Tamandua tetradactyla: one gene and its partner. The protein of the gene in region 1 interacts with the protein of each later gene in a pairwise test. Links are inferred from orthologs where the notes say so. Each region holds a gene or a part of one and is shown in the gene's direction. Other genes may lie near its edges.

Evidence for each region.
Region 2: the proteins of GRAMD2B (region 1) and CD207 interact in binary tests that used the Homo sapiens proteins (3 or more experiments, as listed by UniProt). The two-hybrid records come from large-scale screens. The link is inferred for Tamandua tetradactyla from reciprocal best matches to the Homo sapiens genes GRAMD2B and CD207.

The regions. Positions count from the first base shown.
Region 1 is NC_135347.1:1,299,268-1,308,363, reverse strand, and holds the start of GRAMD2B (GRAM domain-containing protein 2B), read left to right. Parts: upstream 1-5,670; 5' UTR 5,671-5,687; intron 5,688-5,957; 5' UTR 5,958-6,004; coding exon 6,005-6,024; intron 6,025-9,096.
Region 2 is NC_135343.1:44,356,151-44,364,475, reverse strand, and holds the start of CD207 (C-type lectin domain family 4 member K), read left to right. Parts: upstream 1-4,927; 5' UTR 4,928-4,964; coding exon 4,965-5,040; intron 5,041-5,137; coding exon 5,138-5,254; intron 5,255-6,687; coding exon 6,688-7,062; intron 7,063-7,663; coding exon 7,664-7,815; intron 7,816-8,325. UniProt on the Homo sapiens protein: Calcium-dependent lectin displaying mannose-binding specificity. Induces the formation of Birbeck granules (BGs); is a potent regulator of membrane superimposition and zippering.

The DNA.
Region 1 (9,096 bases):
GAGTCAAGTTTGTTGAAAAGCAAAGAAGCACTGAGGAACTATCACAGATGGGAGGAGATTAAGGAAACATGCTATTTAAATGCAATGCAAAATCCAGGAAAAGAACATCCCTGAGACCATTGGCAAAAGGCAAATACTGTCTATGGATTACATAGTAGTATTGATTTCATGTTAGCTTTCTGATTTTAATGATCGTACTGTGGTTATGTAAGGTGTTATCATTGGGGGATCTGGATGAAAGATACATGAGAATTCTTTGTGCTATTTTGTAACTTTTTTGTCAGTTTAAAATGACATGTTTGTATGTTCAAAATGAAAAATTGTAAAGTTTGTTTAAATTGTTACTGTCAATAGAATAGGAGATGACGGACAATTGAAAGAAGGTTCTTGAAATTCGGTCACAAAGACATCTGCCACTTTTAGTTGGATACTGGATGATTAGAGCAGTGATTTGCAGCATTGGTTTGGGGCCACTTCCCCCTTTTACTGCCCCTCCACACTTTCTCTTCTGTTTTGATTTGAATATGTCACAAAATCCTCAGGAATTTTCAAAATAATATTGCTTACAATTTAATTTTCTAATGTAAAATATCCTATTCAAACATGTTAGCAAAGGAGAAAGGGAAGGAAAGGGGGAGGAGGGGGAAAATACAGATGACAAGAACTAGTAAATCACTACGAGTTTTTAAACCATCAGCTAAGTAGATTCACCTGGGAAACTTGTTTTTAAAAAATCTGAAGTGCACACCAAGCCTGTAGAATCGTTTATGAGAGTGGGGTAGTTTTATAAACTCACTGGGAGATTCTGAGGCACACTAAGGAAAGTTTGCGGACCACCATTTAAGAAAATGGCTGAATTCTCAAACAGGATATATCACCGCTAGGTGGTGCCAGGATCTCAAAGATGTCACTTACTGGTACCATAATTCCTTTCCCTTTCGTTCTCTCACCCCCATGTCTCCCCAGGTCTTAGGCAAAGGAAATAGATATTTCACTTGTAGCAGTTTAGCAGCATCCCCTTACATTTATTTTGGTTGTGACAGCCATGAGCTATTTCAGCATTCCTCTTTTCCTTACCATCTTAATTTGTCAACAAAAAAATGTTCAGAAGAAGAAAATCCACTGCAAGTATGTGACCTCATCAGTAATGAGGAACTGAATGAGAAAGACTTATGTACAAATTCCTGAGAGCCATATTTCACAATCCGTAGTTTTGATCCCTGCCTCTGCCCAAAAAACATGACTTTAAGAATGTACCAGAATCATAGGTTTATTCTTTCCTGGTTCCCACTGCCTCAGTGCAGAAGTATTTGACAATTTCTTTAATGGCTTTATCCTTTGCTTCTTTCTCAGTTAGATTTTTGCACAATAAAAAAAATATATCCTATTCAGTTGATAATCTCATTTGAAAACATTTCTTATACCAAAATATAAGTACATGTGATTGAAATCTGCTTGAGGACATTGTACATAGTCTTATATGTGCTTTTGAAACACGCATTTAATTCAAATGGCTGGAAACCTGAGCGAGACAAATAATGTAATTCTTTTATTAATTCTACAAATATCTATTGAGCAACTTATATGTGCAAGGCACTGGGGATTCAGAATTGAACAAACAAGATGGATATGCTCATGGACTTGCATTCTAGTTGAGGGAAATGCAGAGAAAAAAGATAAAACAAGATCATGACAGCCAGTGATCAGTTTTTCAGAAGTAAAATGATGTGACACATGTAATGATAGAGCATATTTAATGGTAGAATGAGATTATTCAAAAATGCTTATTATAAATCCTATAGCAACAACTTAAATGTTAATAAAACAGCAAATGAGTATTAAGTTAATGGATATAATAAATGACAGCATAAAAATTCTAATTTAAACCAAGAGACAGAAGAAACACATGCCAAATACAAATGCTGTTGGCTGATTACATGTGGCAAAGCCTGAATAAATAGCCAGTGATTGTTACACTTTGGGTGTTCATCATTTATTGCCACAAGGCCAGTGAGGCCAAATTTGTGGAAAATATTGTTCAAGCCTTACACATTAGTATTTATTTTCATCTAATTTTCTAATGATTTTGAGAAAATGTTGGAAGTTCTAGTTATAATTTGGGATAGCTCTCCTTTTTGTAGCACTGTCAGTTTTTTTCTTTCATGCATCTTAAGGCCTCATTATTGGAGTCACATGCGATTGGCAAGTTTTTGCCTTATTGATTAATTGACCTCTTTAAAACTATTTATTATGCATCTTTATTTCTCATAATAGTCATTGTTCTGATGCCTGACCTGTCTAATACTTAATAAAGCCACATCATTTTACTTTGGTTACAAAAAAAAAAATAAGGTGACAGTTTCTGCACAAGATAGGATAGTCTTTGATGGGGTGGTCAGGGAAGGCGTCTCTGAGGAGGTAACATTTGAACGGAGAGTGAGTGATGGCCAGAAGAGTTGGAGGCCGAGCTGTCCAGGGAGAGGGAAGAGCTAGTAGGTGTAAATGAGGAACAAAAACAGTGTAGGGAAGCAGGATCCAGATGAGATGCGGGTGTGGGCGAAGGGCCAAGCATGGCCACAGAGCACAGTTTAGATTTTAAGTGAAATGAGAAACCACTGGAAAGTTTTAAAACGAATAACATGGTCTAACTTTATTTTCAAAGACCATTCTGGCTCCTCTTTGTAAGGGGAGGGGAGAGTATGAATAGATGCTAGAGGACCACTTGGGAGGCTACTGCAGTTGTCTAGATAAGAGTTGATGGCAGCTTGGATAAAAATGCAAATAAAGTGAAGCCGTCAGTTCCAGATGCATTCTGAAAGTAGAGATGACAAGGCATGTTGGTGGGCTGAATTCAGGGACTGAGGAGATGAGAGAAATCAACAATTCCTAACTAAATTGTTGTTTGAGCAACCAGATGGATGAGGAAGGTATTTACTGAAAAGCATAAAACAAGAAAAATTTGGAGGAGAACTGTGAATCAAAATTCTGGTTTGGTCATAGTAAGCTTTGGGATGTTTTGTTTTTTAAAAAATATTTTTATTGAGAAGCATACACACATGTGTAGAAACAGTGGCTCACAATATCATCATATGGTTGTGAATTCTTCCTCATGACCATTTTAGAACATTTGCATCTCTCCAGAAAAAGAAATAAAAAGAAAAAACTCATACATCTCATACCTTACTTTCCCTCTCATTGACCATTAGTACTTCCATCTACCCAATTTTTTACCCTTTATTCCCCATTACTTGATTTTTTTAATTCATCTGTCCAAACTCTGGATAAAAGGAGCATCAGACACAAGGTTTTCACAATCACAGTCACATTATGAAAACTATATTGTTATACAATCATCTTCAAGAATCAAAGCTACTGGAACACAGCTCAGCAGTTTCAGGCACTTCCTTCTAGCCACTCCAATACACTATAAACTAAAAAGGGATATCTGTACAGTGCTTAAGAATAACCTCCAGGATAAGCTCTCGACTCTGAAATTTCTCAGCCACTCACACTTTATTTTGTCTCACTTCTCTCTTCCCCCTTTGGTCAAGAAGGCTTTCTCAGTTCCTTGATGTGCGGTCCCAACTCATGAGCTGTTTAATGTGGGAGAGGTCAGGAAGGAATTATAAGATTTGGGACTCATCCAGATATAAATAGTATTTAAAACCATAAGGCTGGTAGCTGGGGAACAGGGGTAGCTGGAGAGGGTGTGGAGGACTGAGCCCACTGCCCCCAGAGCAGTGCCGTATTGCTCTTCTCTCACAGGCTGCAGTGGTCACTATAAATAACGATGTGGTTAAAAGCAATGCTGGGGGGAAAAAAAAACAAAAACGCAATACTGGGTAAGGCGAGACTAATAACACATCATGTGGTCATTGCAAGGAGTAAAGGAGGAATGAATAAAATATCTAAGACTGTGAAGTATTTCCTATTTTCTTCTTTGATAAAGTGGACTCTGCAGAAAAATTGCAAAAGAACTGTTCCACAGATCATCATATTGGGAAACACTGATTTACTCCAAGCCCACGTTTTATACACAAGCAAACTGAGGACAAGGGAAGTTAGATGACCTAAGCAAACTCCCACAAGTAGTAACAAAAGTTTTCAAACACTGAGCTGGGCCTCTTTATTCTAGAACACACCTCATTATGATACTGCTTGTAGGCTAACAGAGTTCCCCCAACTTTTCTACTAGCTTTCCCCTTTCAGTGACATATTCCTGGTCTTTTCCTAAAGCTGAATTTATGAGGTGTCTTTAGTGGATTTTCAAGTTAATGAAATGTCTGTAGTAAGCTGGCAAGTTCCTTTATTTGTCTGCAATAGCACCCATGTGGTTTGTGAGGAGTTACCTAAGAATGGATGTGTTCTATATCCCTAATTTGGAATAGAAGGTCACTTTAAAATTTGTATTTATTTTAAAACGCAGTAATTGTATAATCAAACTGTTACTGTATATTTAAAGCTTCACCTCCAATCATATCTCTGACTTTGGATCCATCCACATCATCTGAAACTTCTGAACTTTCATTTCTCTGACTGCTAATATCAAGGACAGTAAAATGAGGGTTAATATTTGCCAAAGCTTTGACCCATAGCTCAAAGTTTGTAAGTCAGCAGAAACTATCTCTATGGGGGATCAAAAGAACCTTGGACTAACTTTCTTAAAAGCAATAAGCATCATTTTTTCTCTAATTTCTTTCCTTAACTGTCAAAGTTAAGCAGGAGAGAGAATGAGAACAGACTTCTGAGTGCCCTTTCTTATCACCATCCTGCAGAGTACATGAACACTGACCATTAACACGTCCAAAGACCTTACATGTGAGACGGGAGACAGGATTGGAAGCCATATTTGTCTTGCTCAGACAATGCGTTACCGTTTTAATGCAAAAACCTGGAGAATAGTCGATAAAAGGATGAGAAGTACTGCCAGCAACAGACTGAGAAGAGCGGGTGGTGATTGAGGCATGTCACATGGTGACTGCAGAGAAGACACAGAAACACATGAGGCTGCTTGAGGTCAGGCCTGGGGACTGTTACAACATAGCTTCTGTAAATTGTGAGCGAGGAAGGCTAAAAAGGGAAATGGAAGGATAGAAGGAGTGATTGGAGAGGGGTTGTGGCAGCCAACTATGATTCTGAAATCTTTAATAGGTGTCAGCTACTTGTCACAGACCCTACCCTAAAGCTATTTTTATTTATTTCTATGACACCAGGCCTTTCACGAGGATCATACTACTATCCACGGAAGATTCCACTATGCTCCCTAAAGGCCCCCTGACTGATTACTGAATCTGAAGGCCTTCTCAAAGTTACATTCATTTAATTAAGTAGTTGACAATTCGTAAAATGTTATTGCCCCGAGGGGGAGCAACACGTTTTACCCTATTAATATAGGACCTAAACCAGTGAGCTATCACTGTGTAACAAATCATCTCAAAACTTATGGGTATAAAACAACAACTATTTATCATTTGCCATGGATCTAGCCACACGTTGGCAGGTGGGTCTGCTAGTCTGAACCAATTAGATTTCAGCTGGGCTCACTCAGGTGTCTGTGGTCGGAGGGCCCATTGGGAACCAGGTAGATTATGACAGCTGGAAAGGTGCAATGGCCTTCAGTCTGGCTGGTTGTCATGGTGACCTCAGAGCAGCCCAAGAGGAAGCAGAAACACACAAGACTCCTTGAGGTCCAGTCTCAGAACTGTCTCACTGTCATATTCTACTAGATATGCAAGTTCCCAGGCCACCTCAACTCAGAGTGGGCAGGGACTTCTAAGTTATCAAACAAAAGACGGATAGAGAAGCTGTTAATTTAATTGGGGTCATTGATGCCTTCAATCGATCACAGGATCTGGAGACAAATTTTGATAAAAAGAATAGGAAAAGGGAAATAGGAATTAAAATTACTGGTATTCTTAATAATCTCATGTATGTAAATCTCTTCTTCTATTACCTAGCCTTGAACTCAAGTAGATGGACTCCCCCTACTCATTTCCTGTTTCTTATGCATGCAAATCATCTCAGGTATGTTATGTCTTGCAATGGTCTTAGATTAAAATGACTTAAGTATGTAATTGTATTTAATCATTTGCATTCAGCCAATTAAAGTTACATTTGATACAGTTTAAAAACCCTTAAATGTCATTCTGCATTCTTCTAAGTAATGAGCGAGCTTGTGACCTGGTGGGACAACTAAAAAGGAGGAAGAGTGGAAGGGTTAAACTTTCTTGTTACTTTAATCTTCTAGCAGGAGGGGTTCATTATGTGGTTATTGAATCCCCACAATGAGGAAAGGATCACGATGAACCCAGCACAAAGCATGCTGTAAAAAGAAAACTATAATCTGGCTACTGAAAGCATGGAGAAGACAGATAAGACGTTGATATTATCACTTAGTAAATATCAAAGTCGTGTTGAGCGTGTTTGATTTGTATAATGTACAGCCATTGCTTCAAAGGAATACACCGAGGAACACTTAGGGCGGATTCAAGTGGAAGCTGAGTTAGTGTACACTTACCACCTTCTAAAGTGAGGAAAGACACCGGGGTTGGAGGTAGATAAAGGTCGTTGCGAGTAAGGGTCAGTGAAAGGGACCCCAAGCCAGCATCAGGACAAAAGGAAGCTCTTGAGGTGGCAGGTAATATGACCTAGAAGAGAATGTTTCTGTGTTCATTTGCTGACCCGCACGTATGCGTTTCAGTGGTGGCTGATCTCTTCCTTCAGAGCAAACACTGAAAGAGAAACCTCTGATGCAGCCCTGGTGATAGAAAAAAGACCAGGTCACTTAACTGAAAGGGCTGTCATTGGCCAGATCAAAAGTGAACTCAAAGTTCCTTCCTGGTACTTCCCAGAGTTTCTTAGAGATCAGCTGGCCCCCAGAAGATGTGGGGAAAACAGCAGGCCCAAAGATTCGGGGCCCTACCTGTGGAAAGAAGCATTCGGCAGGCGCTCCAAACACAGCTCATGCCCTGGAAGGGTGTGCTCCAGGAGAGGAAAGAAAAGCCAGTGGATCAAGGCCTGGAATTGTGAGTGACAGGTCTCAGACCTGGGAAAAAACAGTGGAGATGGGAGTGTTGCCTCCTTGCTATATAAAAGGTCTCTTCAGCATCTCCAGAATAGGCTGTCTCTACAAGGAGAAAGTTTTCGGTTGCCTGTTGGTTGCCCCTTGTTCATCAGCAGGCGCTTGAGCTGATCCCACATCCCTTAATATCAGGAACCTCGGACACAATTGTATTTTGTTTATAGATCTATTGCATAGAAGAAATGGCTGAGCTTGAGGTTTTTTCAAGTGGAAGAAAGAGGAATTCAAGCTGAGGTAGCATGAGTAAGACTGGGAGATGCTTGGAAGGCATGGTTGCAATCTAGGACTCAATTTATTCAGGAAGGCTCAGCTTTTCCCAATTTAGTAAAGGGAACATGGGATCCCAAAACACCTGCCCTGTCATACTGGTGGCGTCAACTCTAAGTTTTGGTTTTAAGTTCCTTTTAATCAAGAAATATGGGTTTGGTTTTCGGTTAGGTTTCTTTGAGTTCCTTGTTAAGTTTATATTTTGGCTTTGTTTTGTTTTACAGTTCAAATGTAAAGTGACATTTGTAAAGTGACAAACAAAGGTACTTAATTAAAAAAAAATTCCTCTAGAAATTCCAAACTACCAATTGCTTGACTATTCCTCAAAGAATCCCATCCTTACAGGAAAGATAATTTTCTGGGAGGGTTATTATGCTCAGCCCTGTCCTGGGGCTATAAACAAATGCCTCCAGAAAGATAGGTGAAGGCATCACAATGGGTACATACAGCGACACTATGAAGGCAAAGACACAGTATAAAATGTCAATGCATTGAAGACACCGGGAAACCTGTGATTTCCTTCCATTTTGGGGAGACACTGTTACAGGAGATAGAAACAAGGCTTTGGATTTTAAAGCCTGCATTAGAACATCAGCTCTGCTGCTGTTTAACTGAGTATGTGGACTAGGGAAGGAGACAATTTTTCTTGATCTTCAGTGGCCTTATCACCAAAATGGTGAAAAATGTACCTGTTTCACAGCATCAAGAGGATTAAATATCTCTATATGTAAAGTGCCAGGTGTATAGAAATTACAAAATAGAAATTGCACAATAAATATGTTTTCTTCACCCTTCCTCCCTGAAAACCTTACAAGAAACACTGAAAAGTAAGGGGTATGGTATGCATGAATTTTTTTCTGTTTTCTTTTTATTTCTTTTTCTGAATTGATGCAAATGTTCTAATAAACTATCATGATGATGAATACACAACTATGTGATAAAAAAAGAATGTCCATATTGTATGTTGATTGGTTTTATTAATAAAAATTAAAAAAAAAAGAAAGAAACTGGAAAAAAATCTCATCTCAAGAGAAATTGCCAATGGCTCCACAGCCTCTGTGCTGGCCTCAGGTTGATGGCCAAACCACAACTCGCACAGTTCCCCCGGGTACAGAGGACAGAGGTAGATCTCAAATTCTGTTCTACCAGAACTCTCAAAATGATGCTGTCCCATCTGGGTTAAGTACTCAGTGTAGAGACAGAAAAGTTGGTGTGTGTACCTACAGCCGATGCAATGGTGTTTGAGTCTTGGCTTCTTCACTCGAAAGCTGTGAGACATGAGATTGGTTAACTTCTCCTCTCTGAGCCTCAACTTTCTCATCAGCAAAATGAGGGTGGTATCTCCCTTATGGAGTCATTTCCAGCACTGCAGGTGAAGAAGCCAGCCTCTGTCACCAGAAACATTGTGATCTTTCAAAACCCTTTCCCGATTTGTCTTCCAGTTGGGCCTTCTACATTGTTTTATTACCAGTGGAGAATATTTTTCATATGTTCCTTGGCCATCCGCATTTCTTCATTTGTAGATTGCCCACTTATGACCTGACATTTCAGCTGATTCTATGCGCTCAATTCTCAAGACTGAACTATCAGAGACAGAGCCATCTCAGCACCTTGCTTCGAATTCAGCTCAGCCCCAAATCCCGCTGCTTTCTCTGTTTTAAAAACTTGCAGGATGAATGCAAACTAGAAGAGCTGTAATCAATAGCAACATAGATATATATTAGTGTATAAAACTCACTTTGTCTTTA
Region 2 (8,325 bases), on another chromosome or scaffold:
ATAGTTCCTGCCTCACCAGGAGCACTTCACAGTTGGATCACCCTACAGCAAACCCCATATATGAGAAACCCCACTCAGTTTCAGAGCTCATAAGCAGCTTAAAACTGAATAGGTTCCAAGGCTTCCTAGGAAACTGAGGAAAGTCTCTGACATGAAAAATACAGCCCCAAACTAGCAAATAGAGAAAAAGTAACTTTTGGGAAATAGAGAATATAACTGTAGAGCCTACAATATAGGGAGGAAAAAAATAAAAACCAAATGGAAACAAAAAAAAGCTCTATCACTGCTAACCTAACAAATAGAAGAGCAGATGTTGCAACAATATAACAAAGACAGATGCTATAAAAATGAATATTCAGGGAACCCAAAATGTCTAGGAAATTAAAATATAGAATTAAAAGTGGAAAAAATAGAAGAGTTGTTAGATAAAGATAAGGATATTTCTTAGAAATAGAGCAAGATGACATGGAGATTGCAAATAAGAGAGAAGATGAGAAAACTCAATCAAGGAGGACCAAGATTTAAATAACAGGAGCTCCAAGGGTGAAAATCACTAATGAAATAATTTAAGAAAGCTCCCCAGGAGGCTCATTTTATTTTGAGGCCCGAACCCCAGGACCTATCACTGTGGCATGCCCACTGTAATGGCAGGAACTGGAATTAGTAGCTCCATTTGAACCATGTGCTGAAAAGGGGGGTAATTTTCTGAAGGAAGGGGATTCTTGGTATTAAAAATGGTGGGGATAAGGGAAAGATGTTGGGGAGGAAAAAACAGGAGCTATTCCCTACTTATACAAATATATACCTAGTTATGGTTAGACATCAATATAGGTATAGTTTATGGATATGGATGCAGATGTATATACATATGCATATAGGTAGGAAGAGTGGACTACGGGTAGAGCTGTTTTTTTTCTGTATGGGGGCAGTTTCTTTTTACCCTTATCTGGATTTTTTATATTATCCATTGGTTATATAAAAAAGGAATAAAAAATCTAAAAAGAAACCATGCATATTTTTTCCCAAGAGTCTCTCATTACTTTCCTGACATGAATTTGCTCTTTTCACTAAGCCATAGCCAAGACTTCTTTGACTTGAATAGTTCAGCCTGTGTGGCCCCACCACCCACCCATGTCTATATCACAGTATCCCTGATGGCCCCAGACACAACAGCCTGTTTACCAAGGTGTGGCCTTTTGTGACTGTCCCAGAGAAATCTGCTACCATATGACGTCTTAAAAATGTAGAACCCGTTTGTAGGGACAAGGGAGACTGGGGAGGCATCCTACAGCGTCTTCAGTCCTGTTCAGTCTTGGGAGAGTTTTCCTTTCTTCCAAACTTAAGGATGCCATATATTTTCTGTAGGAGAATACTTTTTCTGAGGGCAGGTCTACCACTATCTTCCCTTCTGTTCCACCAGTCCCTGGGCCATCGTAAGCACATTACAAACACAGAGGAAGGAATAGATGAACGCTCTCACTTTCCACTTCTTCCTTCTTGGTTTCACTGAGGGGTTCCCAGGCCATGTACCAGAGGGTAGCACAGAATCCATTGATTATCTTGGGTCTGCTGGCCAAGCCCCTCATCAGAGCTCCGTTATCTATGGACTCCACTCTGAGGCCTGAGGACCCTATTGACCTGCTGTGATCCACCTCTTCTCTCCCCTCACCTCTCAATCCCTTGCTTTCATAGCCATGCTCCCCTCACCTCTCAAGTCCTTGCTTTCTCTCTCTTCTCCTCCCCTGTCCCTACTTGACTTCATTATCCACTCCAGTGTCCTCCATGCCTTGAATGGAGGGACTTGGATTACTATTTCTTGGTGATAACTCTCAGCATTGCTGGGTCATTCCAAACAACCCTGTTCTCTCTTTTCCTCTCACCATGACAACTTGATTGATTGCATCCTCTGCCTACCTCCAAGCATAAGGCTGGTCCCAATCAGAGAAGGGGAAAAGTCGCCCAGCTCTCTCCTTCCTCCACCTTTATCCAGAGAAGGTCTCAGAACCCGAGGAGCAAGGGGGGAGAGGAAATGGAAAAAAATAATCACAGACTTCCCTTTTCTTGTTACAGCGGTGATTTTTGGCCATTCCAGGTCTGGCCCAAAGTTCCTCTTCTGTTTGGAAGAGTGGGGCATCTCCTGAGGGTCCGGGAGAACTGCCTGCTGTCTAGACCTGGAAAGTGTGACTGAGGCCCCTGCTTCCCTCTTGGTCTTTTCTCCTTTCAGGCCATCAGGCCAAGGGCAGAGGGAGTACCTGTGGGATGCATAAGAGATGCTCAGTAACAACCTGCAGATGGGTGAGGCTGTAGGATAATAGCTTGTGACTCACTCCTTCCCTTCAAAGCAGGAAATGAAACTCCGGTTGGTTTGGGATTTTATGCCTGCCTTCTCTGAATGGCCCAGAGGCCCACAGCCCACTCTAGGCATCAGGCTGCTTCTTGCTTGGCTTCCTCATGCATGACCAACCTTTGGCCGAGTGATTAGTCAGATGTCCACTTGAGGCTTCCATTTCCATCACTGAGAGTAAATGCTCCCCAGCCCCAACCCCTCCTCACACAATGGGCCCCTGCCCGGTGAGGCTTCCTAATCCTTTCCTGGGACCTGGGCAGGACATGTGGAGTTCTGCCAGTAACTCATGCTACAGGCTAGCAGGGGTTTGGAAAAGTGAACTTCTTGACAGAGAAGGAAGGTGCCAGACACTCCCAAGGCATGTCATGAGGCAGCCTCTTTCCCTCAAATGCCACAGGAGGAGACTCGGAGGGCCTCTTCTACCAGGGTCTTCAGTAACTTGAGTTCTTCTTGCTCCCACGTCTGGTCTGTGACAGGTTGTGGATGTGGGGCCAGAGCAGGAATGGGGGCTGAGGCCTTCAGGGTTACACTGGGCACTGAGCATGACAGCCCAGAAGCAGAACATCCTAACCCCTTCTAACCAAGGCTCTGCATCTAACCAGATGAGCAACCTGATGAGAAGAGAGAACGTGTAGTCATAAAGGTTAGATACAAGCAAAGACAGTGAGGCCCTCAGTTTGCGGTATTAGCTGGTGTGAAAGGTTTGAACAAACAGGAGGCCTAGAAGCTACTGAGACAATATGGGTGGGGAGGAATGAGACAGGATGAGTGGGACACCAGCCCCTGGGACTATCTCCATCCTTGTGATCAGGTTTGGAAAGTGGTGTGGGGTCCTCTCTGGGTTCCCTTATCCAGTCAGAGTAGCGGCTCCAGGTGAGGTCCACTCAGCCCAGAGAGAGAGCAGCAAGGGGCTTTCACATACTATAGGGCTGGCCAGACAGGGCTGGACAGGGCAGGGACATAGGATCCTCTCAAATACCAAAGGCAGTAGAAGCCTCTGCAACTTTGAGTAGTTATTTCCTTGTCTTGCTCATTTTAGTCCCTGATACCACCCAGTCATCCAGCTCTACTGGCCCAGATTCAGCAAGGCCAGGCCAGCTTCGTAGTCCTGTGGTTAGAGCTTTTAGGCATTTCTCAATAAGGTTTAAATTATACTTCCCCTTATGCATTTGCTATGGGAATAAATGAGAACTCCTGGAGGCTGTGGGAAGGAGTAGAACAAAATCCACAGACTGTGTAGGTTTCAGAATCGAGTCACAATCAGCCATCAAAACTTTCATTCATTTATTTTCCATCCATCCAACCATCTATCCATCCATCCATCCATCCATTCATCCATCCATCCATCCATCATCTGATTACCTAGACCAAGTTCCTTCGCTCTCTCCCTCCCTCCTTTCTTCCTTTCCTTTTTCTTCTGTTTTTCCTCCTTCAAAAAAAGGTTTGTTTACTGTCTGCTATGTACCAGGTTTCTCAAATTTGGCAGGCTTCTTCAAAGCAGGAGTAACTACCCAGGAGAAAATTTAATCCTTTATTGAGTCCCATTTCAGCTTCTCAGCCTTGAGCATCTCCCATGTATGGCGCTCTCTATATAGGAAGAGAGAGAAAGAACAGTTCCTGGTCTGATGTAACTGAGCTTCCCAATATTGTTTCAGAAGTTTACAAGTTGCAGGAAGCAGGTGGCTTATAAACCAAATCTTACATTCACATTTTGAATCTCCAAGTGGCATATTATAAAAGGATACTGTATCTGCTAAGATGCCTGAATAGCCGAAAGTAGAATATTTTATTACAGTGATCTCCCTATTGGGCTCTCTGCTTCTAGGTTCCCTCCACCCCAACCTATGCCCCTTGCCATATTGAGAATGTTCTAAAGCACTCCATTGCCTGAGACTCTACCTTGCCTGAGACTCTACATTAATTCCACGTCACCCACAAGCCAGGAGAGAACCCTAGCATGACCCAAAAGGATCTTCATGGTCTGCTCCCAGATGCCTCGCCTGTTTTATACTTTATACTCCAACAGCACAGATTTATTCACAGTTTGCCAAGCATGCGGTACTGTTTTATGCCCTCATACCTTTGAATGTGCTAATCCTTCTACCTGGAGCTCTTTCTATCACTCTTTTCTCTGCTTCCCTTGAATTGGGTGTATTCACCTATTGTTATGCTCACCACTCTGTGTTGTAATTTTCTTGCTCAGGTCTGTCTTTCCTTTCACTTTGTGAGCTGTCTGAAAGAAGGATGGTGAGTTACTCATCTTTGTGACCCAGTGTCTAGTACGGTGCTTGGTACCTGGAAGGCACTTAATTTATATTTATGGAATGGATGGACGGACAGATGAAGGAAATCTTACAGGAGAAATAAGATAGCTTTGAGACAAGATGGCTAAAGTGTCCATGTGACAGGACCTCCTCCTTTTCCTGAAAGCTCAGATCTTTGAGAAGATGACTGAATTGCAGTCCAGGCCAGACAAGGTGTCCAAGTCAGAAATGGGGAACTTTGGGATGACGTAGGGGATCTCCTGCCAGCCTTGCTTCCTATTTCCTCTAGATAAAAGGATCTTGGGGAGGTCGGACATCCCTGTGCAGCAAGCTGCAGGGGTGAGCAAAGCAGGATGAAGGCTGCAGAGGAAGAGGTGCCAGATGCACACTTCATTGTAGACAAGCAGAACATCTCCCTCTGGCCCAGAGGCAAGTGCCAGTGGCTGCTTGAAACCTACTCACTGAGCTGTACCCGTACTGGCTGTTGACTGTTCCTTCAACAAATGTTTGCTTCTTCTTCTGGCAGATTCTTCTTCCAAGACTGATCAGCCTCTGCTTCTGAGGAAATCGACCACAATTTGTGCTACATTAATCTTCCTGGCACTGGTCCTGGCCACCTCCGTCCTGCTTCAGGCCTTTCTCTGTAAGTCCTCAGTCTTACCTTCTGGGCTCAGTCCTCCTCCATGGCCCATAGCTTCCTCATGTTCGAGACCCTGTCTTTCCTGCTCTCCAGGGTTCTTTCCTGCCTACACCTTCTCTTATTTGCCTTATTTCTTCTCTTCCCGCATCTAGTAAAAGAGCCACAGAGCCATCCAACCTAGTAAGATGAGCAGCCGCTCTTTCCTTCCAATGCCTCGGAGATTTTCCCAATCATTTCCTGATTGGGTTTAATGCTTGCATGTTTGTGCTCAAGGCTATGCTCTTTTGTCCCCAGGAAATAGTCATCTACTTCTTCATCCCATGTCACTCTCTCTGTGCTATGTATTCCATAGATTCAGAAGGTCATAGCTCTTGGCAGTGAGTGAAATGTTTCCTGGCCCCACAAGGGATGAGTCCTAAGTGCATATTCAGTCCCAGTTGGAATGGAAAACCTGGCTGATGAGCTAACAAATCTTCATGGTTTGAGTCCCATCTCCAAGACCCCTTTATGGCCTCTTCATTCTCCTGTCCTTGCAAAGATCACATCAAGCTAGTCTTTCTACTCACTCATTGGATGTGTGGCTTAGCTTTCTTCCTCTTCTGGCTTTACTAAGTCTCATGCCCTCTATTGCTGGCATAGGTTTTTTCCTCCTGCCAGGTCTCTAGAAGGCAGAGGGAGGGAAGGGTCTGTCTTCTTCCTTTGTGATCTCAGGGCACATTTGGTCTCAGACTTGAAGCTTCTGGGCAGAGGCTTCCCCCCCATCCCCACCCCTGATTTGCCCTATCCTCCTAAGTCTCTAACATTGCCATTCCCACAGGCCTTTCTTTTGTACCTTCTTGGTTTCTTTTTATTCTTCTTTAAATGCACCCAAGTCTGTGACCTGAAGAGAGTGGGAAAGTAGGTGAGGCAAGAGAAGGGGAGAAGTGGTTCTATTATTCTCCCTTTCAGTCTTCTCTGGAGAAGATTCCATTTCCATGTTAGGAACCTGCACCCTGGCCCTTCCCATGGTCAAGGAGGGACATGTGGACAGATGTGGGAGGTATGGTGCCCATTTGCTGATGGCTGCTGAGAGAAGAGGGCTGCGAATCAAGTGATGGAGCCCAGAGGGATGTGGGGAAGGTGAACAGTGGGTGATTGAGGGTGTCCTTTTACCAAATGTGCCTTGAAGACTCAAAGAAATTTGGAACTGGGTTCTAATACTTGCTTTGGCTTGCCTGTGAGTTCCTCTACCAGGGAGACTGTTTTTAGCCATCTTTGTATTGTTTATACCCACCAGAGATCCTGAATGAATGGAGAGTGGGAGGCAGCACCTTCGACTGGCTTTGTTCTTCGGGAAGTTTGAGCCTGTCCCTTCCCTTCCCTGTCTTTTTTCACCCCGACAACACCCCAACTCCTAGGGTTCCTCTTCGCTCACCTCTTGACTTTCTCAAATTCAGATCCTTGGCTTTTGGGCACAATATCAGATGTAAAGACCAAAGCCCGGTTGCTGAAGGGCCGTGTGGACAATATCAGCAGCCTTGGGCCTGAAATTAAGAGGAATAGCGATGGTGTGGAGGCGGCCAGCACTCAGATCCAGGCGGTGAATGTCAACTTGGATCATGTGCGTTCTCAGATCCTGACGGTGGAAACTGGGCTGGAGAAAGCCAATGCACAGATCCAGAGGTTAACGAGAAGTTGGGAGAAAGCCAATGATTTTTATGCCCAAATCCCAGAGTTAAAAAAAGATTTGGATAAAGCCACTGTCTTAAATGCAAAGGTCCGGGAACTTCAGAACAGTTTGGACAATTTCAGCAAGATGCTCAACCGGCAAAGTAAGTGCCTCAGAAAATAACGTTGCAAGCTGACCAGTGCCCATGGGGCCTCGCCTGTCTTAGATGTGAGGCTTTTGGGCTGGTGGGTTAGGAGGGAAAGGGCAGAGGAGCAGGTCAAGCATAAACTAGAAGGTTAGGTAGAGAGGGCTCAGCATTGGAGTTGGGAAGGACTTAGGGGCTGTTTAGGGGAGAAGAGACCAAAGGACAGCCTGTGTTTTCACACTAAGGCATGGAAGACAGAAGCATTAGGAAGACTCTCTGGCATGCCCTAAGCCCCTCCATTTCTTATTATGTCCCTTACTTAGAGCCCAGGGCTCAGCCTTTTGTGATGGCCAATGGAGAATTGTTTTCTCTTATGAGAGAGGCAGATCTTGATCCATTCACTCTTACTCTTCCTTCTCTAAGCTTAGGGGCTTGACCAGTCTTAGGCAGACTTTCAAGGTCAGAGAGAGTGTCCCAAAACCTTTACACAAGGACTTGAGGCACACATAGCCTGGCCCCATTCACCACTCTTTCTGAGATCCCACGCATGTGTCCCAGCCTAACTAACATCCAGAGAAAACAGGAACACCAGTATTCACCTTTCACCCTTGTTCTTCAGATGACATTTTACAGATGGTTTCTCAAGGCTGGAAGTACTTCAATGGGAACTTTTATTACTTTTCTCACATCCCAAAGACCTGGTATAGTGCCCAGCAGTTCTGTATATCCAAAGAGTCACGCCTGACCTCAGTGATTTCAGAGAGTGAACAGGTGAGTACTGTTCCTTTGGGCTCTGGAAAGTCAGTGTGTTAGCATCCCAGGGCCTATATCAGTCAGGATGGTCATGATTATGCTGCAGTAACAAACAATTCCCAAATAGTAATGATCTAAGAAGGATTATTTCTCCCTTATACTGCATCTCTAACAAGGTCCTGCTCATTGGGATTACTCACAGACCTTTGTTAAAGGAGACTTCATCTCAGCATATGTTTCCACCATTGCTGAGACAGGAATGGGGAACATGGTAAATTGTCAATAGCTCTTAAATTTTCTGCCTGGAAATAGCACATTACTTCTACTCACATTTCCTTGGTCAAAGCACATCATACCATATTCATAGCTTCAAAGAGGGCAGGGAAGTACCATCCTTTCATGTGCCCGGAAAACAACTGATTGTGAACAACCCTATTGGCACTACACGACCCGAGACATCTCCTGCCTGGTGAGGCAAACTATTGAATAAACCCCTTTCATCTGGGAAGTGGGGGAGAAGGAGGGTAA